4 linked regions of the Pelodiscus sinensis genome follow. The protein of the gene in region 1 interacts with the protein of each later gene in a pairwise test. Links are inferred from orthologs where the notes say so. Each region holds a gene or a part of one and is shown on either strand. Other genes may lie near its edges. The genes, in order: ATF4, CCDC106, NFE2L2 and GCC1.

The links.
Region 2: the proteins of ATF4 (region 1) and CCDC106 interact in binary tests that used the Homo sapiens proteins (3 or more experiments, as listed by UniProt). The link is inferred for Pelodiscus sinensis from reciprocal best matches to the Homo sapiens genes ATF4 and CCDC106.
Region 3: the proteins of ATF4 (region 1) and NFE2L2 interact in binary tests that used the Homo sapiens proteins (3 or more experiments, as listed by UniProt). The link is inferred for Pelodiscus sinensis from reciprocal best matches to the Homo sapiens genes ATF4 and NFE2L2.
Region 4: the proteins of ATF4 (region 1) and GCC1 interact in binary tests that used the Homo sapiens proteins (3 or more experiments, as listed by UniProt). The two-hybrid records come from large-scale screens. The link is inferred for Pelodiscus sinensis from reciprocal best matches to the Homo sapiens genes ATF4 and GCC1.

The regions. Positions count from the first base shown.
Region 1 is NC_134711.1:90,961,916-90,969,839, reverse strand, and holds the start of ATF4 (cyclic AMP-dependent transcription factor ATF-4), read left to right. Parts: upstream 1-4,914; 5' UTR 4,915-5,109; intron 5,110-6,186; 5' UTR 6,187-6,281; coding exon 6,282-6,498; intron 6,499-7,226; coding exon 7,227-7,924. UniProt on the Homo sapiens protein: Transcription factor that binds the cAMP response element (CRE) (consensus: 5'-GTGACGT[AC][AG]-3') and displays two biological functions, as regulator of metabolic and redox processes under normal cellular conditions, and as master transcription factor during integrated stress response (ISR).
Region 2 is NW_027465849.1:3,188,712-3,195,579, reverse strand, and holds the start of CCDC106 (coiled-coil domain-containing protein 106), read left to right. Parts: upstream 1-3,861; 5' UTR 3,862-3,995; intron 3,996-5,556; 5' UTR 5,557-5,621; intron 5,622-6,868. UniProt on the Homo sapiens protein: Promotes the degradation of p53/TP53 protein and inhibits its transactivity.
Region 3 is NC_134717.1:45,626,121-45,633,675, forward strand, and holds the start of NFE2L2 (nuclear factor erythroid 2-related factor 2), read right to left. Parts: upstream 3,007-7,555; 5' UTR 2,975-3,006; coding exon 2,945-2,974; intron 1-2,944.
Region 4 is NC_134711.1:569,061-575,939, forward strand, and holds the start of GCC1 (GRIP and coiled-coil domain-containing protein 1), read left to right. Parts: upstream 1-3,879; 5' UTR 3,880-4,292; coding exon 4,293-5,339; intron 5,340-6,879. Other genes in the region: ARF5 (ADP-ribosylation factor 5), read right to left, coding at 1,127-1,193. UniProt on the Homo sapiens protein: Probably involved in maintaining Golgi structure.

The sequences.
Region 1 (7,924 bases):
CCCCACCTCCAGGCCAATCAGGGCCTGGGGGCAGGGGAGTGGGCGAAGCCTCCCCCGCCCTACGGGGGCACCTGACTGGCCTGGTGGCGGGGGAGCGCGGAAAGCCTCCTCCACTTTCCCCCTCGCCCTACGAGCATCGCACGGCATTTCAAAGTGCCATGTGCTCCTGGCAGGGCGGAAGGAGGCTTTGTGCACTCCCCCGTCCCCAGGCCAATTAAGTCCTGGAGGTGGGGGAGCGTGCAAAGCCTTCTCCGCTCTGCCCCCGTGCTGCGAGAAGGGTGGGGGCAGAGCGGAGAAGGCTTCGGGCACTCCCCTGCCCCCAGACCTTAATTGGTCTGGGGGCGGGGGAGCAGTGGGCCTCTGTGGGCTGGATCCAGCCGCTTGATGGGCCAGATTCGGCCCGCGGAGGCTCTTTTGCCCACCCCAGTGTAATTGACATTTCCAATTTCAAAAGAAGCTATGCAATTGATGTAGCTCAATTTGCGTAGCTTATTTTGTGTTAAACCCTGCTGTATATACGCATCGTAAGGAATCTGTTTTGAGGTTTTTGAGTTAATGATGAGAAAAGACTCTTGCATTTTCCAGCTTGTTTTCTCCCATCACTGAAAAACAACCAAAGGATTTTTACTTTAAGGGAAAAAAAATCTTTTTTTCTAATAAGAATTACCTTCACAAAGGAGATACATTCAGCAAGTTCTGTGCAAAGGCAAAAGGGTGCTTTAACGTGGAACTCTGTATAACTAATTTCTACAAGCATCTAATAAAAAGCATCTATTATAGTCATCTAGGTAACTAGGAAATAATCTTGAAGTTAACCAATGGCTGTTTTTTGGAGTTTTGAGAATGTATTTTTGTGGGGGGTTTTGGGTGGGGGAAGTGTGAAGAGATGGAAGATGTCTCTCTGGAACCTTTCACTGTGCTAATTTCATGCACAAAGAAAGCTAAGTAGATGAAAAACCGAAACAGGATAATCCGGGTGAAGTTCCTTGTTGCGCATTTCATATTTGCTTATGTGAGTCTGGCTCTGCCGTACAGTGACTCCTTTCATGAAAATCCTTAATTAGCTTTTCAAGAGGGAGGGTAGGGTGTGTATATACTTTCCACTGATTTGGCTATAAAGACAGCATTACTTAAAATGGGGAAGGGGGTGGATCAAGGTTAAGGGATGTGAAAGCCTTCCCGTCAGCCAATCCCCATGCTACACTGATATCCACCCCCCTGCCCCTCCAATCCCTTGTTTGGCTTCTTTGTTTCACTGCCTCCCCTCCATTCTGTACTGAAACTCAGTGAGCTCCTTGATGCATTTTTTTTTCAGACCAGTCGTCATGGTTCACTGAGCTGCTATTGTGATGTCTTCTGAGATGTAGGGCAGTTTCCCCTCCAATGACTCAAAATGTTATTTTGCTCTTAAAAGAAAAAAAAATACCTTGTATACGTGGTACATTTCCACTCAGCAAAGCGGTTCCTATTGTGCATTTGGAGGATTTTGTGCTGACTTCAGTGATGATAAGGTTGCATTGCTTTCTTGCTCTTTTGCTGGCTTTGCAGGGCTGTGTGGGGGAGCAGGCTGGACACAATTTGTCCTTGAGGATTATCGCTAAAATTGTTTACTAGGTTCCAGTAAGTTACAGCTGTGCAAACCCAATGAAGGCCATGAGCTTCCACGAGTGTTCCTAAAGTCATAACTGGAAGACAATAGGGTTGCTGCCAGAAGTAGCTGAAAGCACAAGTTTGTTGTGCAAAACCTTTATTGCTGATTATGATTATACGAAGCTGCTGCTGTTGATCTTCCAGAGTTCGAATTAGCAGTGTATTTAAGATAGTTAATTCGAAGTGAGAGGGGCACTCCGGTTGATGCTGCCAACCCTGCTTTCACAAGGAGTAAGGGAAGTCGAAGGAAGAGTGTTCTTCCTTTGACTTCCTGCAGTGTAGAAAGCGCCAAAAATTGAGTTAAGGTACTTTGACTTCAGCTACGCAATTAATGTAGCTGAAGTTGTGTATCTTAACTTGTCCTGTAGTGTAGACAAACCCCCAGAGTCCAAACTGTATAGCAGGGATTGACATCCTATGGCACGTATGCCACTTATGGCATGTGAGCCGATTTTAAGCAGCATGAGGGAGGGAGCTCAGCCCTATCGCCTCCTTCCCCGCTGCTACTGTGGCGCACACAGTTGGGGCCAGCCCTGGAGGCTGGAGGCAGTGGGTCCTCTGGGGCTGGCTCCTGTCTGTGGTGGAAGCGTCAGTGGGGCCTGCAGGTTGGCTCAGGACAGCATGGTTGCAGCAGTTGTCAAGTAAGTGTCCCTCCTTATGCCCAAACCCCCACATCCCAATCCCCCTCACTCACCTCCCCCCACCAAGACCCTACACTTCCAGCTTGCTCCAATGCCCTCACTTGTTCCTGCATCCTCTCTCCTAGCTAGACACTACACCCCTATCTTGCTCCTGCACCCTCCCTCCTGGCCTGGCCAGACACATAGCCCCACCCTGCTCCTGTATCCACCATTGCTCCTGTACGCTCTCTCTGGCCACACACTGCACCCTCCCTTGTCCCTGCTCTCTCCACCAGCCGACATCCTACTCCCAGCCTGCTTCTGCACCCCACCTCCCAACTTTTCCCCCTTCTGCACCCCATACCTATCCTACTTGCTGGCAACTCTGTCTCACACACTAAACCCCTCATTTTTGTCCCTACTCCAGAACCTAAGGGGGTTCATAAAATCCTCCAATTCCAGAATGCCAGAAAAGTAAATCTGGCCTACAGGAAACCCTGAACCTCAGTCCTCCCTGTTCCTTCCCCTTGCCCTGTGAGGTTGGAGCACTAGGGAGTGAGGTGTTTCAGTTGGGGGCTATATCAGTGAGGGTTAGTAGGGTTTTTTTGCTTCTCACTGTGTGGTCTCCAACTGGTTTTTCTGTGGGTCAGTGGCTCCCCAACTCAAAAAAGGTTCCCTATCCCTGCCATAAACAAAGAAAACATTGAAACCTTTTGTGTTGGACATAATATTTTACTTTAAATAAGGTGAAGTTTAATAAACTAACATGAGAAAGTTAAATGCTTAATCTGTTTCATAATTTAAATTGAACTGTTCTCCCTAGCTGCAGCTGGTTCAGAAAATATGGTCACCGTACCCAGATCAGTGAATAAGTTAAATCTGGCATATCACTTCTGAAAGGTTGCTGACCCCTGCTGTACTGTATGGTTAGCAATATGGAAAACATGTAATTATATCTGAATGCACCTCAAACAGCAAGGGGCGGGGGGCAACAGAAGAGGGGACAAAGCTAGCATGGCAGAGAGAGGGGTCATAGAAGAACAGGTTGCCCTAGTGGCAGGACTGGTAGAGCAAGGAAATGGGCAACAGGGGTGGGGATGAAGGGAAGTGAGAGACAGTTAGGGGCAGGATGGCACAGCAGGGAGGGGAAAGTGAGGAGCAGTCCTGGCACAGGGAGAGAAGTGCTGTGGGGGAGTAAGAAGTGGTGGGGAGGGGAGGAGAAAGCTGGCACAGCAGCCCAAGAGCAGGGAAAGTGGGGACAGAGTTGGCACAGATAGGGTTGCCAGGTGTCCGGTTTTGAACCAGACAGTCCGGTTTTTGAGCTTTCTGTCCGGGAAACAAATTGAGAAAATACCGGACATATAAATGTCTGGTATTTTCTAATTAAGTAAGTTTTATTATCATGATTATCAGTACATAGTTGCGTACTGCGTGAGCGTGTGTACTCACCAGGCAGTATACAATTACACAATAGAGAGGAGGGGGGCGGGGCCGGGATGGAAGGCCAGGACTGTGTGAGGGATGGGCTGCACCCCAGGATCTATGTTTGCCTGGACCAGCCCTGCTTCCTCCCAACCTCCTCTGGGCCAGCCCTGCTTCCTGCCAGCTGTGCCCTGCTCCCCTCCCAATCGGTCCCCACCGCCATCTGAGATCAAGTGTGTTGGGTATTTTTCTGAAAACATCTGGTAACCCTAGGCACAGAAAGGATGTGAGAAAATGGGGGTGGTGGTGAGGTCAGAGCTGGTACAGCAGGGGAGGCAGGGTGAGGAAGTCACAGGGCAAGACTAGCATGGCAGTGGAGCGCTGGGGGAGCAGCGGGTGCTGCAGCAAAGGGAGGGGCTGTGGAAGAGCAGGGGGCACAGGAGGGCAGGGCTGTGGGCAAAGAGGCAGCGGTGGGGGCTGGCGGCAGGGCACGAATGCAGGGGTGGGCGGGGAGAGGAGCTGTGGGGTGCAAGGCTGGCACTGTGGGGTAGGGGATGAGAAGGGGCACTGGGGGCAGGGCTAGCACTGGGGGGGATGAGGAAGTGGGGGGAGCACAGGGCTGGCGCTGCAGGGAGGGGGGCGAGCTGGGGGCAGGGCTGATTGGGCGGCTGACGTTGCAGCTAGCCGCCTCGCGCCCCCTCTCCCCCTTCAGCCGAGAAGCGCAGCTCCTGGGCCTGCAGTTTGCATCGCTCTCGCTCTAACCAATGGTAGCTCACAGCGCACGTGAATTTGCGGTATCAGCCAATCAATGCTTCACATGCCCACGTGGTGATCCCCGTGCCGCGCCGAGCCCACCGGTCTGTGCCAGACCAAAGGCGGGAACATCCCGCCCGCGCCAGTTTCTGCGTGGCGTGACGTCACTTCGCGTCAATGAGGCATAGAGTCAGGGTGATGGGTACACTGCACAATATAGCCCCCTGTAATTCTTCCGCCGAGTGTTGGCTGGTCCCCTCGGCAGTGCGCGTGACCACGCGAATCACCTCTCCCGTCCCCGGGAGTCTTCCGGCAATCGGGGGATGGCAGCGGGGCACAGAGCGCTGCGCACCACCCGGCATTTGTGAGCGCGCGCGGTGAATCTGGCGGAAGGATACAGCGAAACCGGATCTCATTTTGTGGGGGGGAGGGGAAAAGGGCGGTATATAAGCGGGGAACGCGCGAGCCACCCTCTCATTGTCTGTCTGTCTAGTGCGTCGTGTGTTCTGTGCGTGGGCGCAGGCGGGACCCGACCCGGAGCAGCCTTGCCGCCGCCGCCATGGCTTGGTAAGGGCGGCAGGGCCAGCAGCGGCATCGGCCAGTGCAGCGGGCGCAGCAACAGCAGCGGCGTCCACGGCCCCTCCCCGGCATCTGCAGCCATGGCGTGAGTATGGGGGCGGGGCGGGGCCCCCCATCGGCAACGATCTGGCCGAGTGGGAAAGGGGCGTAAGTGAGCCGGGAAGCCCTCCCCCCCCCATGTTAGCGAATGGCTTTTCCCGCGGGGGGTGGGCCGAAATGGTATAGCCCGTAGGGGAGTGAATTGGTCGCTCCCGAAGGAGGGACGCAGGGACGGGCCTTGGGACGCTCCATTGCGCCCTTCCCTCCCTGCCCTGCTAGGGAGCGCGCGAGTTGCTGGGAGGCACCATATGGAGTGGGATGGGGGGGGGGGGTGAATTCCTGTGATCCGCTTAGCCCGGGAGAACCCATTCCTTATGGAAGGGGGGGGCATTGCGGTGGATTGTCCCTCTCGCCCCTGCTCCTCGCGCTTGCGGGTCCCTGGGGCTCCGCTGTTGGGGGGCGGGGGGAGCGAGGCTGCAGCTGGGGGCTGCCCATTCAGCTTCCCGCTCCCCTGTGCGCCCTGGCGGGGTTTGTAGGCGAAGTCCCACGTTCTCCTCCGATGCCCGCTCTAGGGCTGCAGGGAGCGTTTCCCTTCCCGCTGTGTCGCGCCGCTTTGCTCCTGGTCCGCCTGCTAGATGCCAGGTGCTGCCCCCGTGGAAACGTGGCAGGATACACAAAATGGCCGCCTATTGCTAGGGCGGGGTGAGCGAGCACACAGGCAGGAACGCGAAATGGCTGCAGCAGCTGGCATAGGCGCAAGTCCAGCAATGCAGGCATGAGTCACAGCAGATGGGTGGGAGGGGCTCTCGCAGGAGATGTGACCATATTTGGTCATGAGGAAACTTGAGTGGCCCTTTCTGTTGAGACTTCACAAGCACCATCTTAGTTACCAGATGGCGCTATTGGGGTGAGAGTTCTGAGACCGGCAAGAAGGGTGCAAAATGCAAAAATGTGGCTCACAGGAGATCCTGAAAAGAGGGAAACCCCAGTTTGGTTAGTGTTCCATAACATGGTTTATATAGTTGAAAACTCCCTTTTTCCACCAGTAGAAAACATACAGTTTAAGTCAAATCACACAAATGGCTGTGCTATATAACAGATGATCTTCTGTCTTTAATTCCAGGTTTTTCAAAGCACCTCACAGCAGCATTGCTGTAATTGACAAAGACACCTACTCATCTACATTCTTTGAGCAAAAAGCATTAACATTTGACCAAGATGAGCCTCTTGAACACGGATATGCTGTTGGGGGGTTTAAAGTCCCCCTTCAGCCAGTGGTGTTTGGTGGCTGAGGAAAGTCTGGGACTTCTAGATGACTACCTGGAGGTGGCCAAGCCCCTCAGTTCGCATGGGTTCTCCAGCGACAAGGCTAAGGCAGTCTCCTCCAATTGGCTGGCTGAGGATAGTTTGGGCAAAACCACAGATGACAGCCAGGGTAAGGCATTACTTTATTCTCACAGGATTATAGTGTTCAATTAGCAAGTGTTTGCATATCTCATCATTCATTGATGTTGATCAGTGAGCTATTTAAATGGATGAAAAGCAGTGTATTGAGAATCAAGAGCATCTCCATCCCTGTTCCGTATGTGGCTCAAAAGGCTATTCTTTGGGGAAGGAGCCTACAACATGCGAATGTGTTGCTTTCAGGTAGCTCTTAAAATCTTTCCAATTCTATAGAGCTTGAAGGAACCAGAGAAATGGCACGTTACAAATCACTATCAGGAATATTTTGTCCTTTTTTAGTAAAGCTCTGCAACCCACTCCACAATAAATATCAGGTGGGGAAAACAACCACACCAGCTTGGAGTCAGGTTGATTCAGCATCTTGGTCCAATCGGATATCTCATTGCTGTGGAGTGTGCACAAAGGATAGGAGTGGAGCTGCCAAACTTCTGATTTTTCTGTAACCCCGTAAGGAGGGGAAAAGAGTGAAGCTGAGCTGGGGTTAGGACCCTTTTGGATCAGGTGGGTTTGGGTCCAGTCTGGGTCAAGCTTAATTAATCTGGAGCAGACATCTATTGTTTAGAACATATGATTAGATTTGTCTATCAGAGAAATGAATGGAGAAAAAATCCACAATATAGCATGCAGTTTTTTCAGTAGCCTTTTGAATTGATTGTGTGACTGCTGTACTCGTATGGTAATTGTTTCCCCATGTTGCAGAGGATGCCTTCTCTGGCATGGATTGGATGGTGGAGAAGATGGATCTGAAGGAGTTCGACTTTGATGCCCTGTTAGGAATGGATGACTTGGAAACCACCGTCTCTCCAGATGAGCTCATGGCCACGTTGGAAGACACGTGTGATCTATTAGACCCTCCTACCCAGGAAATTCCCAACAAAGAACCTTCACTGATAACTGACCCAATCATTCATCACCCTGAATCTCCAATTGGAGTAGATCAGGTGGCCTCACTTGCCCCCCTTCTGCCTCTTCACCTCTCTCCAGAGTCCTTGACTTCTACTCCAGACCATTCATTTAGTTTAGATCTAGGTAGTGAAGTTGATGTACTGGAAGGAGACAAAAAAGCAGAAGCCACCACATTCGTGGTGGTGGTGATCCCCAAGTTTGAGAAAGAGGAGGAAGTACATTCAGATAATGATAGTGGAATATGTATGAGCCCAGAGTCTTATCTGGGGACACCCCAACACAGTCCAGTCACCTCTGTAGAATCGTTCAATGACAGCCAGTTTCCTGCAGACCCCATTTGTGGTTCTATGCGGCCCAAACCATATGATCATCCTGTAGAGAAAGTAGTGTTGGCAAAGGTGAAGGGAGAAAAAAGGGTTGATAAGAAATTGAAGAAAATGGAGCAGAATAAGACAGCTGCTACACGTTATCGGCAGAAGAAAAGAGCAGAA
Region 2 (6,868 bases), on another chromosome or scaffold:
TTAATTAAAAAAAAATCCTGGAAAAAAGTAGACAAAACCCAAAGTTTTAACCAAAAAAAAAATTGTTGATCAATTTGGCAAATACTTGGGACTCGGCCAAAGAAGGCCGCTCCAGTTTGAGCCTTGGGCCGATTTTGTGCCTTTTGAACGTTTCTGTACCTTTCATTTTACATTTAACACTGGCAACAACTTTGGAAAAGGCCAACATCAAAGACGTCTCTTTTGAGCATTGAAAATCATTCCCCACCCCTACAGATCTGCATAGATTATTGAAATAATCTAGCCACCGAGATCTGGGCCCAGTCAGGCCTGGTGTGGATAAAATCTAGTCATAATCTCAGACATTCCCATAGGGATTAACAGCCCGCATTTCATCCTCAGGTCTCCAAGCACTTTACCTTGGCAGACCAGGATCATTATGCTCTGTTATGTGGGAAACTGAGGCAAGGGGTGGTGGTGTGGCGGGGGGAGGAATGAGAAATCAGCTGTACCAAACCCATCGCTATCCCTGACCTTTTACAGTTGTTGACAATTGGAAGAAACAACAAAAAGCAAAAAAAGATACATCCATAAAGAACATTTTTTGAGATCTAAAAAAAAAAGACAAAAAATCCCCGCCCCCAAAAAAATCCCGTAGATTTTGCAGAAAATCACCAACAATTTTTCCCCCGGGGTTGTCTGTCCCAAGGGGGGATTGGCCACAGTTCGAGTTTTGCCATGGAAATGAGACACACTAAAACCCACATTCCCGCTGGAACTTGGCTCACCATGCAATGGAAACAGGACGGGTCACTTGGGGTGGGCGGCAGGCTGGCCCCAGGGGAAAACTCAGCCACGCACGGACCCCTCGTGGCAGCCAATAAATCAGTCATGCTCCCGGTTCTAGAGATGGGGGAAAACAGGGACACAGAGAAGGGACATGCAAAGTCACTCTGCAGGGAACAGGACCAGTCCGAAGAAGTCCTGATGTCACCCAACTTCCCCGCCTGCTCTAACCACTAGACCACACTGCCTTCCAAGAGCCAGCTGTGGAACCCAGGAATGCTCAGTTTTTCAGGGCTGTGAGAGCTTAAGCTCCAACCAGCAGCAGGCTGTGAACCATCTGACCTGAGAGCCCCCCGAGCTTCTGGGGAATCTCCCCTAGCCAGGAACACTATAGGGGGCAGGACACAGGGGGAGGGGGTTAGTTCTGATTGCAGCCATCAGGGGCAACATGGCTCTTTCACACACATGCAGCGCAGGGCCCAGCCCCTCCTGCAGGGGGCAACAGGGGACCCCCCCCACACACACACAATCCCCTCCAACAGGAGGCGCCAGCTGCACACAGACACACTTTTCTGCCCTGCGGATTCATTCCTGGTGTGATGGGGGCCTCTGTTGGCCAGGCAGGGGGGATGGGGACCCCTCATCCCTTATTGGCCTCTGGGAAGCAGCAAGTAAAGAGTTTGGCCTTGGAAGTAGAGAAACTGCTTATAAGGGAAGCAGATTGGGGAGGGGGAGACAGAGTCTGAGGCCCAATGGTCCATGAGTTACTCCTTCAGCTCCCGTATACCCAGCCCCCGCACCCCACCCTGCAGGGGCTGGATCACCTGGCAAGGGAGGGCCAGGTTAGGCGGGGATCCCTGCACGACCAACTGCTCCAGGGTGGCACGGCGGGGGCTGGGTATTGGCTGTGGGGGCTGGAGGAGCAAGGGGGGGTCCCCGTTCTCTGCGAGTCACATGATGGAGGGGGTTAAGGGATGGGATGGCTGATGGAGAGGGTTACGGGACAGGTGGATGGTGGTGGGGGTTAAGGGTCACATGACGGGTTTAACCCGCCGTGAGACGCAGCAGCTGGTGGATTCCTGGGCGCTATATTTAGTGGCTAATGACAGGTTGGGATGGTGGAGCTGCCTGCTTAGCACCTCGGGCAGGCCTGGACTGGCAGGTCTGTAGGCTCCCATGGTGGCTGTCTTCTGCCCGCCTCTTGATATAAAGTAGTCCCTACAAAAACAGCCTGGGCAGGAAATGGGGTGCTGGGTCTTTCCCATACGTGTGTGTGCGGGGGCGCCCCATGGGGCTGGTTGGCTCGGGGGGGGGGAGGGAATGGTGTGTAGCTCCCCTCTGGCCCCAGGGGAGCCAGATGGGGGGCACCGACAGGGCTGCGGGGGCAGGGGCTGTGGGGCGCGAGTGAGCGGCACCGAAACAGCTACGGGGGAAAGATGCACAAGCCCACCAATCAGAGCCAGCTCCCTAACGCAACTCACACTTTGCAGACGCTCCCTGGCCCCCAAAGTGTGTGTGTGTGTGGGGGGGAACCGCCTCCCCTTTTCCTTTCCAGCTGGGGGTGAAGGCAGCGGACACCCTGCAGGGAGAAGCGGGGGGGGGACATGGCCGCAGTAAGCGCGACGGCATCAGCCCCCCGCCCCTAGCCCCCTCCCCTTACTGTCCCCTCTGCCTGCCCTTCGTCTCCCGTCCGGCTAGGGAATTGCGCCTCGCTCCCTGCCTGGGCGGGGGAGGCAGGGAGGGAGCTTGAAGGGGCCGACGCTAAAAAGTCGCGCTTTTCCAGAGGCGGAAAATGAAAGCGGACGCGGGGGAGAAGACAGAAACCGCCCCCTCCTCCCGATGGGCGGAGCGAGGGCAGCTCGGTTCTGTGGGGCGGTGATGAGGAATGGATGGATAATGAAGGGGGTGGGGGATGGATGATGGAGGGGGGGTGGATGATGATGGAGACGGTGGGGGATGGATGATGGAGGGGTGGGGATAGATGGATGAAGGAAAAGTTGGGGTATGGATGGATGATAGAGGGGGTGGGATGGATGGTGGAGGGGTGGAGGGGTGGATGGATGATGGAGGGGGTTAAGGGACCAGCGGATGATGGGGGGGTTAATGGACAGGTGGATGATGGAGGGTGGTTAAGGTACAGGTGGGTGATGGAGGGGGTTAAGGAATGGGATGGATGATGATGGGGGTTAAGGGACAGGCAGATGATGGAGGGCGTTAAGGGATGGATGGATGATGGAGAGAGTTAAGGGAGAGGCAGATGATGGAGGGGGTTAAAGGATGGACGGATGATGGAAGGGGTTAAGGGACCGGCAGATGATGGAGGGGGTTAAGCGATGGGATGGATGATGGAGAGAGTTAAGGGAGGGTGGATGATGGAGGGGGTTAAGGGAGGGTGGATGATGGATGGGGGTTAAGGGATCGATGAGTGGATGGATGATGGAGGGGATTAAGGGATGGGATGGCTGATGGAGAGGGTTATGGGACAGGTAGATGTTGGTGGAGGTTAAGGGAGGGACAGATGATGGAGGGGGTTAAAGGACAAGTGAATGATGGAGGGGGTTAAGGGATGGATGGATGATGGAGGAGGTTAAGCGATGGGGTGGATGATGGAGGGGGTTAAGGGATGGATGGATGATGGAGGGGGTTAAGCGATGGGGTGGATGATGGAGGGGGTTAAGGGATGGATGGATGATGGAGGGGGTTAAGGGACGGGCAGATGATGGAGGGGGTTAAGCGATGGGATGGATGATGGAGAGAGTTAAGGGAGGGTGGATGATGGAGGGGGTTAAGGGACGGATGGATGATGGAGGGGGTAAGGGACGGGCGGATGATGGCGGAGTGAGGGATGGGTGACTGAGGGGGTTTGGGGCACAGAGAGGTGATGGGGTGGGGGGAACGGATGGGTGAGAGAGGGGGACTTAGGGGTACTGTCGAGGATTTGGAGGGCAGAGAGCTGTGCTTGGTGAGGATAAAGACACGGGGGTGACTGGGTCTCTCTCCAAGCCTTACCCCCCTTATTACTCCCCCGAGAAGGGGCCGAGCCCTGGCTGGTGGGGGGGGGGGGCGTGTCAATTTCTGAGCGAGCTCTGTAGCACAGCCCCCCCCCGCGTGTCTCTGCCCTGCGTGCGTGGGCGACCCCCCCCCCCGGTGGCGCTTTGCAGACGCTCCCTGGCGCTGCCAGGCGTGGGGGTGGCCGTGCCCGCTGGCTGGGGGTTCGCGAGCCGAGCTGGGTGAGTGGGGTTGGGGGGGGTTGTTCTCTGCAGAGCCCCCCCCCCCGCACCCGCTGCCCTTGCAGCGCGCCCCGGGGCCGGGGGGGGGTTCTCTGCTGAGGGTCTATTTTGCATCCATGGGGGGGATCCGGGGCTACGTTGTACCCCCCCAACTCCGCGTCCAGCCCCAGCTCTTTCCCCTCCCCCCCTCCCCCCTCCGCAATCCAGCCTGGGAGTAGCCGAGTTCCAGCTGCACAGCGAGGCACACAGGGCGGGGGAGGGGCAGAGAAGCCATTTTTAGGGCGATTTCCCCCCATTTGGGGGCACTCGACGGCATTGGGGGGGAGGGCTGGGACCAGGCGTGCAGACTTGGGGGCAGGCGGGGAGTAGAGTCCATCAGAGAGACTGGGGGGCCATGGGGTCCCTGGATCTGATGCACAGGGCTGGAGCTGATGCAAAAGGGGGGGAGGGCTGGGGGGTCTGGAGCTGATGTGCAGGGCTGGGGGGGTTGGATCTGATGCAAAGGGGGGGAGGGCTGGGGGGGCCTGGAGCTGGTGCACGGGGCTGGGGGGCTATACGGGGCCTGGAGTTGGTGTGTAGATCTGGGGGGGGGGGGGGGGCTGCGGGGGAGGGGCTGCTCACTCGGCTGGCTGCTGGTGAGGACTGCAGGGTTTGGGGGTGGGGGCGTAGCTGGGTGCAGATGGCCCCCCGTGGATGCGGGCTGCTGGGTTTCTTCCAGGAGCTCCCCTGCTCTGGCTCTGGGGGAGGCAGGGTTTCCTCCATGTGGCCTGGATCCCCTGGGTCTGTTGGGGGGGGGGGGGGGGGAGAGCCATGTGGCCCTCCCTCCCCTCCCACTTGCTGGTACCCAGCTCTGCGCCTAGATGTCTGCCTTGGGAGTGCCCTGGGGAGAGAGGGGGCATCCCCAGATTTACCCAGCCCCCCAGTAAATCCAGCTCCTTTCCCCAGCTGCTCTGCTGGGATTATGTGTTAACGCCCCAGTTTCCCAGCTCTGGGGCTGGTGCTTGGGGGACGGAGGAGAGGGTGGGTGTTTTGGGGGGACCTGGGACTGAAGTAACACTCGGGGGTGTTTGTAGGGGGAGGGGATGTGATCTGGGCTGGTTCACGGCAAAAGTGCCCCCCCCCGTCCTATAATTTTGGTTGATCTCTGGGGGGGCCAGACTTGGGGAGGGAGGGAAGTTGCAGGGTTCTGGGCAATGTGTATTGTTGTGTGTGTGATTTTGCATGCCCATCCATGTGTCATATCATCTGTAGTGCATAGCGGAGGAAGATTCTCCTCCAGCTTAGGGAGCTGGGATCTATTGCTGCTCCTACTCAGAAGTTTACTGCTGACTAGGTGTTGAACTGAGGCATAGAATCCAGGAGTCCTGCCTCCAGCCTCTCCTACTCCCTACACCCAGACTGGCTTTGTGCCTGGCCTTGCCCTGATCCCATGCACCAGCGCCTGTGTGGGACAGCAGGGGGCACCGATGTGGGCAGCCCACAGGCTGTGGGTTCAAGTCCTGCTCCCAAAGAAGCAGCCTGACCCCCCCTTCCCCCTCTGCGTCTCTTCTTCCTCCCCCAGGGCTGGCCGGAGGGGGGTGCAGGACGGGTTCGGAGCTGGGCTGCCCCACGGCCCATCCGTCTCAGGTAGGTCCCTGGCCCGTCTGCAGGGAGAGTCCGAAAGGTATCCCTACAGGGGCCATGTGGGGTCATTCTCAGGGAACCTCAGCCTCTCCCCAAATGGCTCCCACTGCCAGGCTTGGTCCCCCACACTCCAGAAGTGCCCAGTATGGCGGGTGGTTGGCACCCAGTTCTGGGCACGGCCAGCCTGAGGCAGCTACTGTCGGCTCTGGGGCTTCGTGGGAGCAGAGGGAGCAGGCCTGAGGGGTAGGATGGGTTGAGTCGGGGGTGATTTGGAGTATGTGGGGAGCCCTGGGCATTATGGGTGGGGTGGGGGTGTCCCTGGAGCAAGAAGCAGGTGCCCCAGGGGTTATGGGTTGGGGCTCTCTGGAGTTGTGGATAGGGGCTGCCCCAGGGGTTATGGGTTGGGGCTCTTTGGGGCAGGTGGTGGCTGCCTTGGGGGTGGTGTTATGGGTGGGGGCACTCAGGGGATATGGATAGGGGCTTTCTGGGGTAGTAGTGGTTGTCCTATGAAGATTACGGGTGGGGGCTCTCTCTGGGGATATCGGAAGCTGCCCCAGGGGGATTCTGGGTAGGATCTCTCTGGGGTTATGGGTGGGGCTGCCCACAGGGAGTCTCTCTGTGGTTATGGGTGGGGGCTGCCCAGGGGGGGTCTCTCTGGGGTTATGGGTGGGGGCTGCCCAGGGGGGTCTCTCTGGGGTTATGGGTGGGGGCTTGCCAGGGGGGGTCTCTCTGGGGTTATGGGTGGGGGCTGCCCGGGGGGTCTCTCTGGGGTTATGGGTAGGGCTGCCCAGGGTGGTCTCTCTGTGGTTATGGGTGGGGGCTGCCCAGGGGGGGTCTCTCTGGGGTTATGGGTGGGGGCTGCCCAGGGGGGGTCTCTCTGGGGTTATGGGTGGGGGCTGCCCGGGGGGTCTCTCTGGGGTTATGGGTAGGGCTGCCCAGGGGGGTCTCTCTGTGGTTATGGGTGGGGGCTGCCCAGGGGGGGTCTCTCTGGGGTTATGGGTGGGGGCTGCCCAGGGGGGGTCTCTCTGGGGTTATGGGTGGGGGCTGCCCAGGGGGGTCTCTCTGGGGTTATGGGTGGGGGCTTGCCAGGGGGGGTCTCTCTGGGGTTATGGGTGGGGGCTGCCCGGGGGGTCTCTCTGGGGTTATGGGTAGAGCTGCCCAGGGTGGTCTCTCTGTGGTTATGGGTGGGGGCTGCCCAGGGGGGGTCTCTCTGGGGTTATGGGTGGGGGCTGCCCAGGGGGGGTCTCTCT
Region 3 (7,555 bases), on another chromosome or scaffold:
ACAAACTTATGCTGGTATAATGTTGCTCAGGGTTCTGGAATATCCACACCCTGGAATGACATAGTTACACCAACTTACCCACTGATGTAGACAGCACGAAAGGGCTTCTTTTGCATGCATGCTAACGGGACATGCTCTCCCATTGGCATAGGTTGTGTTTTCAGTAACTGCTAATACAGCCATGCTGCTGCAACACTGTAACTGTAAATAAGCCCATAGTTGCTAAAGCCCTTAAAGATGAGACCAAAAAAAGCTTGAATTTTATGCAGTGCATAAGTTGGTGCCAGTAGGAATTCAGAGGGGAGCTAGCACAGTCAAATAAACCAAGAAAATTACTTTAGCAGCAACATTTTGCAAGGAATGAATGGGTGTCAAGAGGGGAGGCCAGACATGAGGCAATAGTAGTAGTGAAGCTAAAAAATGATGAAGGCCCAAGAGGAACTTTTTTAAGAACAGAGATACAAGAAGCAATATTGCAAAGAGGGACACATCTCAAGAGTGGGGAGGTAGATGTGTTTGATACATCCAGAAAGGTGTAGCTGAAACTTTAAGAGTGGATGCTGTCCCCTAAAATACTCGCTCTCAGCCTTTTCAGACTACAGTAGCCCTTTCAAGTGTCTGATTTGTTTTACGTACCCCTACGTTTCATGTCACTTAAAAAAATCAGACATAAAAATACAAAAGTGTCACAGCACACTATTACTGAAAAAAAAACCACTCATTTTCTCATTTTTACCATATAATTATAAAATAAATCAATTGGGATATAAATGTTATACTTACATCTTAATGTATTGTATATAGCGGTCTATAAACAAGACATTGTATAAAATTTCAGTTTGTACTGATTCTGCGAGTGCTTTTTATGCAACCTGCTGTAAAACTAGGCAAATATGTAGCTGTGTTGATGTATCTCCTAGAAGACCTCTGTGTACCTCCAGGGGTACACATATGCCTGACTGAGAACCACTGCCTCAAATTAATCTGGTGGGATATCTAGCCCCTGAGAAACAGCTATCTAAGCTTCTCTTAAGTCTGTGATCCAGATCAGAATGAACCTAAACAATGGACATAACATTTGGAATACATACATGTAATAAATTTAGGAGTAAAAAGTTTGTATTTCCCTATAAACAAGAAGGGGGGGGGGGGAGAAATGAACACAAAACATCTGTAAACTAAAATTGAAGAGTAAACTGGTTTAGTTCTCAACTATTCCTTCACCCTTTAAAAAATGCATTTTTTAAATAAAAGAGTGAAATAACTTAGGATAATTTCTTCTGCTTTTAGACAATTGATACAACTGATAGCACAAGACTATGAAAAAGAATGTCATTATATGCCCCTGAAGAGACTTGTTATGAAATGAAACTGCTTAACTTTACATATATTTTATGCAGAAACATGATAAAGAAACTATCAGAAAAAAAGTTGAAAGAATGTTTAATATTTAAAATTTATGTTCTGATAATTCAGAGATTATACCCTCCATATATGCTGGTTTACACATTTTGAAGCTGCACCAAAAGGCTAAATCCAAAACATAACAGCCCCAGGGAAATAAATGATTGTGTAACAGCTCCAACTTGTTCCTGGCTCAGAACACTAGGGATCTCACGCTATCGAGCAGAAAGGGCCCTTTTAGGGAAATTGTGACAGACGATAAACTTTTAACTAAAGCCAAAAGCCATCCACACAAGGATAATGTATCCAAATAAGAAATTAGATGTGGGGCCTTAAAATTTAAATGCAGTGGCATGTTTAATGAGGACTAAATCACACAGATCCAGGGGGTCTCCGGAGCCACCAGGGATGCTGAAACAATATGTGTAGTAGAGGTGCTGACCAGGGGATGTCAATTCCAGGCCCTCTGCTGACAGAGTCCAGGCTCTCCCAGGATCTATCAGAACTGGCTGGGCTCCACTCCAGGCTTCGCACTCCAGGCTTCGCTCTGTTCCAGCCCTGGTCACTGGGCTCCCTGCCACCAGGCTGGTTCCACTGTTAGCCCCAGCTACCTGACTCTTGGCTCTCCCGGCCACTGGCCCTGCAGCCCTGTTCCCAGGTCCTGCCCCGCAGCTGTTGGGGATCTTTGTTTCAGCAATATCAATGGCCCTGCCAGACCACAGATCAGAACCCTGGACTAGAGAGTTTCTGCCTGTACAATGATATCTGGTTAAGATTTCCAAGGCAGACTTATTTAAATTTGTTGAGTGTAGATAATGTTTGCTAGGGCTACTACTCCTTACAGCTAAAACTGAAAGCCATACATTTTATTTACACCCAGGGCCTAGACATTTTGTTCACACCCCCACTTCCTCAGTCAATAGATTTTCAGGAAATCAAGAGTATCTAGTCTACCTCTCTGGGAGGCCAGCCTCATTGTTCCTGACCTTCCCATGGCCTTTTGCCCTTGAGGCAGCTGGTAAGATTGGCTGGCACCACAGACCTGGTTAAAACCAGGGTGGCTGTTACTGGCATCATCTCACATCACATTTCAGGCCTCTTCCAAGGGGCTGTGACATGGTGCAGATGGGGAAACTGAGTCACCAAAGGGTAAGTCCCAAGCTCGCAGCAGAGGACACTAGTTTGGCGTAAGAACCCCCGGGCCGTGGTCCCCCTGACGCGCCACCGACCCCAGGGGGCTCCGCGCCAGGCTGCTCCCTTGGCCTGGGGGCCGGCAGGAACCGTGCGCGGCCCGCCTCCCCCGGGCGCCCGGCCGGTCCCGTGACTCATCACGTTCCCGGAGCAGGGGAAGCCGCGCCGATCTCGAGAGCAGGGGCGGGGCCGCGACTCCTGCTCCCCCCCCCCCCCGCCACCAGCAGCCCCCCGCTCCGGCGTGTCGCCACCCGGGCGGGGCGGGGGCTGCCCCAGGGGAGACACGTGCCAGCGGCCCCCGGACTCGCGGCCCCTCCCGGCGGACTCGGGGCCCAGGCCCGGCTCTCACCTGCGGGGCGGGCAGCACCTCGATCTCCATCCTGCTGGCGGCAGCCGGCGCGTCGCCCCTCGCTCCCTGTCCCGGTGCTCGCTGCGACGCTGGCGGGGGAGTGAAGCGAGCGGCCCCGGACAGCTGGGACAGCGAGCCGCCTCCCGCCCCGCCCCGCCCGGCCCCAGCCACTCACGGCCGCGGCAGCCGGGGAGGCGGCCCTTGTCCCAGTGCCCCGGCAACTTCGGCAACGGCGGCCGCACGGAGCAGCGCGGGGGCTGGCCCGGCCCCGCCCATCCTCACATCCCCGTCCGGCCCCAAGCCACCCTGGCCCCGTCCGAGCCCCTGCCTGTCCCCCCAGGGCCTGCTAGAGAGCAGCGTCCCGGCCCTCTCCCCTTCCCTCGCTGCCACACGCCCCTGTGCCCCGTCTTCTGCTTCCCCACCCCATCCCAGCCATAAACCATCCCTTCCCTCGCCTGTCCTCTCCCATCGCTGCCACACACACCTGAGCCTCGGCCCCATCTTCTTCCCTCTCTCCCCAAAACCACCAGCCCCATCCCTTCCCGAGCCTGTCCTCTCCCATCACTGCCAAACACGCGCCCAGATGTCTGCGTTGTATGCTCCTAGGCACAGCATCATTAGCACCTGCCCCTGCCTACAGCTGACTTTTGTGCTTTCTCTAAAAACAAAAAATGAAATTTGTAAACCACTTTAAAGTTTTGTAAACTTTAGAAGGGCAGCACCCCAAGGCACCTGAGTACTGTGCCTAACTGGACATCTGGCTCTGTGTGTATGTAAGCCGGCGCACGCGCACACGCTCTCTTTCTCTCTCTCTCTCTCTCCTCCCCATCTCTCCTGAAAATCACCCACGTCCATCAGCTCCCACAAACTATCCAGTTATTCCCAGATTCTTCTTCATTCCAACAGATCTCTCCTCAACCTATTCCAATTCAATTCCGATTCCTCTCTATTCCTACCACATTGTTTCTCATCAGATCCTTTTTCAGCCTGTCAATCTTGCCACAATAAACTAAGTCTTCCCTGATTTATCATAACTCATCCCATCTCCAAGTCTGACAGAACCCTGCCTGCCTGATCTCAGCAGATTCCAACATATCAGAGCCATTTCCCCCATCTCAACATATCTCAATCCAGCAGATTCACCAGATGCCTTTCCAACAGATTCTGCAACATCCCAGCTGACCAACTCTTTATACTAACTGACCTTCCCCAGCCATTCCAACTTATAGTTGGTAACTAATATAGCAGCTTAATAATGAGAGGAAGGCTATATGGAAATTCCAACACATTTCTCAAAACTCTTAATATAAACTGACATCCACCACTCCTGAGACTCCCCTTCCCCCCCAATACCTAATATAGGAGTGCTCTGAGTGACTCACCTCAATCCTTCCCCACCACTCAAGTTAACCTTGTTTAGCTGCATGCTACCCACAAAAGAATTATTACTTTACAACATTATTTTATTCTTACCTCTAGACATCCTGTGCTGTTTAGCTATGGAACCGGGCCATATCTTGCAATGTGAAGCAGCACATCAATGCATGTATGGACCTACTTCCATGAAGAAGTGTGCATGGTGCAGTTTTATTGTCTGTTTTCACAGAAAGTATTGGAAGATATAGGTAAACTCTGTTTTAGTTGAGTCCACAGCTTTTGGGGGTTTAAAGACATTACCTTGTTCTGTTATGCTAGCTCTGTAGTTGTACAACCAAGTCTCACAAATTATGCACATTCAGTTCTTGGAAGAATGGCCTCTAAGAGAAACTCCAGAGCTCGGAAAGTATTTGTAGATTTAGTAGATAGCACTGTTACTAATCCTAAAACAGTGCACTAGCAGAAGATGCTGTTTTTTCAGAGAGGCCATCTTTCAAATGAGATCCTGACTACTTTTGATAATTAAAAGATTCCACAGCACTTTTAGAAGAATGGGTGCATTAATCCTTGTGCACTGGCTAGATTCCGACTGAGGTAATTACATTTTTCCTGCTTTAATTTCCTCTGAAATTTAAATGTGAGACAGGATTCTTCACTTCTTAATCTCAAATGTTGTTGTATTCTGTTCAACACCTGTTGTGTAGCCTCATAGAAGGTCGAGCTCTTCAGCAGTTGGTGAAAATAAATCTTATGTTAAATTTGTGGTCATTTGGGGATAACAGTCACTGTAAAAATGCAAGATGTTGTATTTGTTAGGAAGTTATAACAGGTCAAAGCCACTATCTATAATGCATACACAGTGGTGGAACTAATGGTGGTCTTAGGTGTATGTGTGGCTTCCTTTAAAGTCAATAAATATAATTGAAGAGAACACTGCTAATAACCCCTCACCCAGCCTTGCTCTGCACCTGCTGAAAACATGGCTCTATTCCTGTGCTTATTCCTGTTCTAAATGATCCAGCTTACTGCAGTGGTGTGGACACATTTTTTAAAAGTGGTGGTACTGGGACCCCTTATCCCTGTCTGAATCCCCTGCTGAAGCTGGGTGTGGAGCTGGCAATTGAGCACCCAGTGCACGGGGCTCGAGCTGGGACCTTTGGGCGCGAGCTGGCAGCAGAGCCCCCAGCATGTGGGACCTTGAGATTGGGGGTACTGCAGCACCCTCCCACTCCCGAAGTTCCCATGCCTATGGCTCACAGTGCTATTTAATCCTCTCACATCTACTACAATAAAGAGTGTTGCTCTGGTGGGACAAAACATACAAATGAATGTATGCAATGTCAGATGTTAAAACGATAGCTGTGTTAGTCTAGTTCAGCAAAAGCAACAACGAGTCTGGTGGCACTTTAAAGACTAACACATGTATTAGGGTATTAGAGCATAAGCTCTCATGAGCTACAGCTCCTCAGACACTGAAGAAAAAAAAGAGAGAAAAAAGAGGGAGGAAAAGGACACAGAGATGGGACTATGACATCAGTACTAATTAAATCAGAGTGGATGTGGCTCATCTCCAACAGTGGTAAGGTGTGAGTACCTGAATGGGAAATTACTTATGTGTAATGTAAGAGTAACATGAGAATCAGTCCATGTGCCAAATTTGCATTATTCCCAAGTCAGCAGTTTCTCCTTGCAGTCTGTTTTGCCTGAGAATAGCAACTCGAAAGGCTGAAATTGTGTGTTCAGGCAGGTTAAAGTGCTCCCCCACTGGCTTTTGTATGTTACCATTCTTAATGTCTGATGTGTGTCCATTTATTCTTTTGCATAGACAGATGGTTTGTCAGATGTACATGGCAGAGGGGCATTGTTGGCACATGATGGCATATATTACATCAGTAGATGTGCACAAGAATGAGCCTTTGGTGGCATAGCTGATGTGGTGAGGTCCTGTGATGGTGTCACTGGGATAAATATGTGGCAGAGTTGGTAATCCTTTGTTGCAAGGATAGGTACCTGGATTAGTGTTTCTGTTGTAGCATATGAAGTTTTTGGTGGGTATTTATCTCAGGTTGGAGAGCTGTCAGTAAGCAAGAACTGGCCTGTTTCCCAAGGTCTGTGAGAGCGAGGGATCGTCGTTTATGATAGGTTGTAGATCCTTGATGATATGTAGGATAGATTGTAGCTGAGGGATGTAAGTAATGTCTATGTTATGTTATGTTATGTTGCTTTCTTTGATGGGTCTGTCCTGGCTAGCCACTTTATCAATCTGTTTCTTCACTTCTTGAGGTGGGTATTGGAGTTTTAAGAATGCTTGATAGAGATCCTGTCTTAGTCTGAGGGATTGGAACAAATGCAGTTGTATTTTAGGGATTGGTTGTAGACAATGGATGGTGTGATGAGTTTTGGATGAAAGCTGTTATTAGGGATATTACATTTAGATTAATTGGCTAATCGAATAGTTGATACAATTTACATCGGCTATTTGATTAGTCGATAAGGGCACCTCCACATTTGAGGTGAAAGAGCTGCAGGGAGCTTGGAGCCATCAGGAGACTCACAGTGTTTCAAAGTCTCACAGCAGGAGACTCTCAGTACCACAGCGTTTCAAAGTGGCAGAGCTGCATGGAGCCTGGGGTCAGCAGTGGAGTCTGCAGGCTCCATGTGATGCTACCACTATGAAACACCTCCGCCTCTTCTGATAGAGGCAGCAAGGTGGGGGGGGGGGGAAGCAACTAGTCGATTAGCGTGTCAACTGTTCGATAAGCATTTGCGTACCTGATAGGCGACTAGTCATTCACATTCCTAATTATTACCAGATATTTGTCATTGTAATCACTCCATAAAATAGAATGTAATGTTTCGCTTCTCTCTCTCACTAGCATGTCTACGATGCATGTTTATTGTAAATATAGAAAGCCTGTAGTGTAATTATATACAACTACACATCCATCTGAAGAATGTAAACTATAATCAGAATGTCTTAATTACATGACTCTTTTGCTAAATATACCAGGTATGTTCATCTGCAATACACCTGCTCTGCTATGGAAATTCAGGTAGAACATGTTGCACTGTCTATGAACGTATTAGGAATGTATATGGAGAATAGATACGTTTTATCACTGCATGAGGAGGTATGTCTATGCAGTGTTATTGTAGCTGCATTGGTGCCAGGGTTTTAGAGAGACGAGCTAAGGTAATATCTTTTATAGGACCAGCTTTACGTGCCAAGGAAGA
Region 4 (6,879 bases), about 90 Mb from region 1:
CCCCACTGCCCCCCAGGAACACAGCCCTCCCCATTCTCCAGAGCCCTGCATCCCCCCCCACCCTGCATCCCGCCCCTCCCCCCATATCGCCCTGCCCCCCCCAGTCCCGCAACCCAACCCCACTGCCCCCCGGGAACACAGCCCTCCCCATTCTCCAGAGCCCTGCACCCCCCCGCCCTGCATCCCACCCCTCTCCCCATATCGCCCTGCCCCCCCCAGCCCCGCAACCCAACCCCACTGCCCCCCGGGAACACAGCCCTCCCCATTCTCCAGAGCCCTGCATCCCCCCGCCCTGCATCCCGCCCCTCTCCCCATATCGCCCTGCCCCCCCCAGTCCCGCAACCCAACCCCACTGCCCCCCGGGAACACAGCCCTCCCCATTCTCCAGAGCCCTGCATCCCCCCCCACCCTGCATCCCGCCCCTCCCCCCATATCGCCCTGCCCCCCCCAGTCCCGCAACCCAACCCCACTGCCCCCCGGGAACACAGCCCTCCCCATTCTCCAGAGCCCTGCACCCCCCCGCCCTGCATCCCACCCCTCTCCCCATATCGCCCTGCCCCCCCCAGCCCCGCAACCCAACCCCACTGCCCCCCGGGAACACAGCCCTCCCCATTCTCCAGAGCCCTGCATCCCCCCGCCCTGCATCCCGCCCCTCTCCCCATATCGCCCTGCCCCCCCCAGTCCCGCAACCCAACCCCACTGCCCCCCGGGAACACAGCCCTCCCCATTCTCCAGAGCCCTGCATCCCGCCCCTCTCCCCATATCGCCCTGCCCCCCCCAGTCCCGCAACCCAACCCCACTGCCCCCCGGGAACACAGCCCTCCCCATTCTCCAGAGCCCTGCATCCCCCCCCCCCTGCCCGTTGGGCCCCCCCGGCCCTGCGTCCCCCCCCGGCCCGTAGGGCCCCCCCGGCCCTGCGTCCCCCCCCCTGCCCGTTGGGCCCCCCCGGCCCTGCGTCCCCCCCCCCCCTGCCCGTAGGGCCCCCCCGGCCCTGCGTCCCCCCCCGGCCCGTAGGGCCCCCCCGGCCCTGCGTCCCCCCCCCTGCCCGTTGGGCCCCCCCGGCCCTGCGTCCCCCCCCCCGCCCGTAGGGCCCCCCCGGGGGTGGGAGGGGGGGACGCGGCCTCACCCATGAGGATCCGCATCTGCTTCTTGCCGAAGATCCGCGAGAAGATGGCGGAGACCGTGAGGCCCATGGCTGGGGAGCGGGAGCCGCGCTGCGCCCCGAGCCTGCCGACACCGCCGCTGCGAGCAGCCTGGCCCCGCCCCCTGGCAGGGCCCCGCCCCCGCCCGCTGTAGCCCCGCCCTCGGCAGAGCCCCCCCACCGAGCCTTAGCCCCGCCTCCTGGCAGATCCCCGCCCCCAGAGCTCCCTAGCGAGTCTTAGCCCCGCCCCCGCCCGCCGTAGCCCTGCCCTCGGCAGAGCCCCCCCAACGAGCCTTAGCCCCGCCCTCGGCAGAGCCCCCCACCGAGCCTTAGCCCCGCCTCCTGGCAGATTCCCCCCCCACAGAGCCCCCCAACGAGCCTTAGCCCCGCCTCCTGGCAGATTCCCCCCCCCACAGAGCTCCCTAGCGAGTCTTAGCCCCGCCCCTGGCACAGCCCCGCCCCGCCCGCCGTAGCCCCGCCTCCTGGCAGAGCCGCCCCCACAGAGCCTCCTCCCGAGTCTTAGCCCCGCCCCGCCCCTGGCACAGCCCCGCCCCGCCCGCCGTAGCCCCGCCTCCTGGCAGAGCCGCCCCCACAGAGCCTCCTCCCGAGTCTTAGCCCCGCCCCGTCAGAGCCCCGTCCACCCTGTCATAGGCTCCCTCGCATCAGAGCCCCGCCCCCTAGACGAGCCCCCCCCAGCCATAGCCCCGCCCCCTCCCGCCTTAATCCCGCCTCCTGACAGAGCCCCCCCCACAGAACCCGCTCCCGAGCCTTAACCCCGCCTCCTGAAAGAGCCCCGCCCCCGTCCGCCTTAGTCCCGCCCCTTGGCAGAGCCCCAAACCCGGCAACACTCCGATACCTGTAGAACGAGCCCCGCCCCGTGGCAGTGGCCCCGCCCCCAGAAGCATGGGCACGTGGCCAGGCGCCGTCAGTCGCCTCCTGCAAGAGCCCCGCCCCTGCAGCACTAGCTCCGCCTCCTCGAGGATCCTGGACGCTAGCAGCAGCGCGATCCTCCGCAGGAGCCACGCCCTCTACCAATAGCCCCGCCTCCTACAGCATTGGCCCCACCCTTGCACCGCGAGCTCCGCCTCTTCAAGTGCTAGCCACGCCCCCAGGAGCTACACTACCCCGTCTCTAGAAAGGGCCACAATCCCTTGAATCCTGCCAGAGCCCCATTTTTGGGGGAGTCCTGCTCCCTCACCCCGAAACTTCTGCTCCCTGCAGCTCCAGGGCTCTAGGCACAATGCTGGTGATACTCCTGGATCCCACCCTGTGCCAGGGCCTTGCAGTGAGGTCACACCGCTTGGAAATGGCAGCAGGGCTTGAAATTAATCTGAATGGGACAGTCCACCCCTCTGGAGCTATTGTCGCTGACTGCCTGGTGTACCTGGGCTGCCTTTTGCATTCCAAGGGGCTTTTTTAAATGAAAACTACACTTGTTTTGTTAGTCTTTAAGGTGCTGCAAGACTTAGGCTATGTCTACATTGGCATGATCTTGCACAAATACTCTTTAACGCAAGAGTTCTTGCGTTAAAGTATTTGCGCACGAGAGCATCTACACTGGCATGTGCCTTTGCGTAAGAGATGTGCTTTTGCACAAGAGCATCCATGCCAGTGTAGACGCTCTCTTGCGCAAGAAAGCTCCGATGGCCATTTTAACCAAAGGGCTTTCCTGGGCAAGAAATTCATGTTGCCTATCTACACTGGCCTCTGCGCAAGAACAGTTACACAAGAGGGCTTATTCCTGAGTGAGAGCATCATAGTTCTTGTGCAAGAAGCCCTGATTTCACACATTAGAACGTCAGTGTTCTTGCGCAAGATCTCGCGGCCAGTGTAGCCAGGCAGCAAGTTTTTGCACAAAAGCCACCGCTTTGGCGCAAGATTGCGCCAATGTAGACACAGCCTTGGGGTTTTTCTTAAGTTTTTCCCATTACAGACTAACGGGGGCTACCCCTCTGATCATAAATCATCCCAGAGATGGGGTTCTAGCTAGGAGCAACCTCCCTATGGGCCATGCTTTCCCCCACCGGCCACGAGAGACAACAGTGGGTGAGGGAACAGGCTTTATTGGACCAACTTCCGCTGGACCTAACAAGGTGCTCTGGGTCTCAAAGGCTTCTGGTTTTCACCCGCGGGGAAGACATCGCAGCTTCACCCACCTTGCCCCTAGCATGCCGGACCGGCAGAGCCCGAGCGACCCAGGGCTAGGAAGTGACTTCTCCACGGAGCCACGCTGAGCGGGCCCGGCGACACGTCCCTGCCCGTGGGCCGGGGCAGAGGCTCGCTGCTGAGCAGGAACCAGCCCAACAGGATAGTGGGGCGGGGTGGGGGCGGGCCCCCACGGGAAGAAGGAGGCCGGCTCCGTGGGGCTGAACACGCCTCTGCCGGGCCCCCGCATCGCCTGCTCAGGGCCTCGGGCAAAGGCAGCTCCCGCCCCGGCCCTAGCTAGGGAACCGGTCCCCTCCTGCAGCCGTGCAGCGCCTCCCTCCCCACGTGGCAGCTACTGCCTCGGAGCCCCGCCCCCAAATCTCATAGCCCCGCCCCTTCCCGAGGAGCGCACCTGCGCACTTGGGCGCTGCGACCTGGGCAGAAGAGTCAAAAGGCTACTGCAATCGGCACATGCGCAGTGAGAAAGAAGCGGGGCCAGCAGGTAGAGCGCTGAGATATGCGCGCATGCGCGGCGACCGTTGGCCCCCGGGGGGGGGGAAATGACGCCATACGCGCACGCGTAGCGACCGTTAGCGGGGAACCTCAAGAGCGGCGAGCGTCGGTTGGTGACCTACGTCCTGGGCGCAGGCGCGTTGGCCGCGAGAGGCGCGGGGTGCGCAAGCGCGAGGCTCGCGGGCCGGGGAGCGGCGGTTTACGCGCAGGCGTGATGAGGGTGGGCCGGGCGTGACGGGTTCCACGCATGCGTGTGGCGGGAGGTCCGGGTGAGCGGAGCCGCCTTGCTGACGTGTGAGGAGCGGCGGGGGGAGGGGCCGGCCTCTCCCCGTCCCGCCGAAACACCGAGCGGGCGGCCTCTTCCCGCCCGCCCGCTGAGGGGGGCGCGATCCCGGGGGCGGCCTCTTCCCGCCCGCTGAGGGGGGGGCTGTGACGGAACCGGAGTCACTCCGGAGTCTGCGCCTTCCCCGGGGGCTGCCCGAGCCCCCCCGCCATGGAGAAGTTCGGGATGAGCTTCGGGGGCGGCCCCAGCCGCAGGGAGCTCGCGGAGACCGTGGAGGCGCAGCGGAAGCAGCTGCTCCAGTACCAGACGCGCCTGGGGGACGTGGTGCGGGCCTACAAGAGCCTGCTGGCCGAGAAGGAAGCCTTGGAAGCCAGCTTGAAAGTCTTGTCCGTGTCCCACGAGACCGACGCGGGCCTGGGTGGCCCCCCGCCCCCGGGCGCTGCCCACTCCGGCGTGTCCCTTGCCGACTGTGCGGATGACCGGAGTTCCGCGCACAGCGAGGACAGCACGGGCACGGCCACCAGTGTGGACACGGCTGCCAGCATGACCAGTGCCAAGGGTGAACTGGGGACAGACGATGAGCGAACCGGAGCTGGGGGGCCCCCCCTGAAATCGGAGGAGGCGAGCGAGTCGGAGAGTGGGGTCAGCACGAGCAGTGGGGATGTGCCAGGCGCGGCTAGTGAGACTGACAAAAGGGTGCTCCAGCTGAAGACTCAACTGGCCACCTTAACCAGCTCCCTGGCTACAGTCACCCAGGAGAAATCCCGCATGGAAGCCTCGTACCAAGCAGACAAGAAAAAGATGAAGCAGGACCTGGATGAGGCCAGTAAAAAGGCTGAGGAAGAGAGGAGCAAGTTGGAGGCAGAGATGAAGTGTGTCCAGGAGCAGCTGGCAGAGACCAAAGCTCGTCTTATTACTCAGCAACATGACCGGGCCCAAGAGCAGAGTGACCATGCCGTGATGCTGCGGGAGCTGCAGAAGCTGCTGCAAGGTGAAAGGACCTTGCGCCAGGATGTGGAGCTAAAGTTGGAGGAGACTAAGGAAGCACTGGCTGGAAGGGTGTACATGGCAGACCGAGTGGAAGAGTCTGAACTGCAGACAAAGCAGCTGAACAGGGTGGTGGAGGAGCTGAAGAGAGAGCTGCAGGCCGTGCAGGAAACGAGCAGCAAGCCAGATCCCAGGCTGCAGGAGCTACAGGAGGAGATGGCCAGCCTCAAGAGTCATTTTCAAGCACAGCTGCTGCAAGAGATGAAAAAGGTAATTCTTTGTTGGTACACCAGGGTGTACTAGCCAACCTATTATATAGGAGGAGAGCATTAGTGAGTACAGAGATTTGTAGTGAGTTTGGGTTGGCATAAATCCTGCGTCTTCATAGGACCATAAATGAGAGAAAAATCTACTGTTCCATTAGAAGGAATTCCTTCTTAATAAGGATTCAAACTGCTGTGCTTCAGGAGCATAGGTCAACCACTGTAGGAGTAGGAAGAAACTTGTTTTATAAGGAACTGTGCCATAATTGTCCATTATAGTTTCATATACCTTCTGAAGCACATTACCCAGGCCACTGTCAGAGACCAGTGGATAGAGCACTGTTCTAAGCATTGTGGCAGTTCCTGTGACTGTACCTTTGTAAAACTTTTCAAGAGTCTGCAGTGATAGGAGCAGTGCAAATTGAAACTATTCTAATAGAATGAAATAATTGTAATTAGGGATGTGAACGTGTAAATGTGTCATTGACCTTCACAGTTACATGCTTCCTCCCACCCTTTGGTGTGTAAATGTGTAACCACTGAAATTCTCAGCGGTTACACCTTTACCTAAATAAATTCATTTCAACATCCCTAAGTAATGTAGTGTATTACAAACAAACAAACAGCGCTTCCTGTCAGTGGATGCTGAGGTAAATAATTCAGTAAGATAAGGTGAAATGAGAGTGGCTTTTAACTCTCCACCTTCAGGGGCTGAGCTGCTCACCAACTGGGGTCATGAAAAACATCTTTCCTCTTTTCCTGGTACTGCATGGAATAAACAATGAGATGGATTGTAAATCCATAGTATGCCCACTTCTTGAATATTCCATATAGATGTGGCCACTTCATCTCAAAAAAGATATATTGGTATTGGAAAGGGTTCAGAAAAGGGCAACAAAAATTATTAGGGGTTTTGGAATGGGTGCTATAAGAAGAGAGATTAAAAAGATGGGGACTTTTCATTTTAGAAACGAGGAGACTAAAGGGGGATATGATAGAGCTCTATAAAATCATGATAGGTATGGAGAAAGTGAATAAGGAAAATGTATTTACTTGTTCCCATAACATAAAAACTAGGGATCACCAAATGAAATTAATAAGTAGCAAGTGGCACTTCAGTCAGGGAATGGGACCTGTCAGTACGAGGCACAGTACCCAGCTCAGAGTGCCTGTGACCCTCCAGCTGGTATGGAGTCCCACAATATAAGAAGTAGGGGTCACCAGGTGAAATTCATAGGCAGCAGGTTTAAAACAAAAGGAAGTTTTTCATCATGCAGCACACAGTCGACCTGTGGAACTCCTTGCCAGAGGATGTGGTGAAGACCAGGACTTAACAGGATTCAAAAAAGAGCTAGATAGATTCATGGAGGTTAGATCCATCAATGGCTGTTAGCCGGGGTGGGTAGGAATGGTGTCCCTAGCCTCTTGTTTGTCTGGATAACAGGAGAGGGATCACATGATGATTCCCTGTTCTGTTCACTCCCTCTGGGGCATCTGGCATTGGCCACTGTTGGAAGACCAGACACTGGGCAGGATGGACCTTTGTT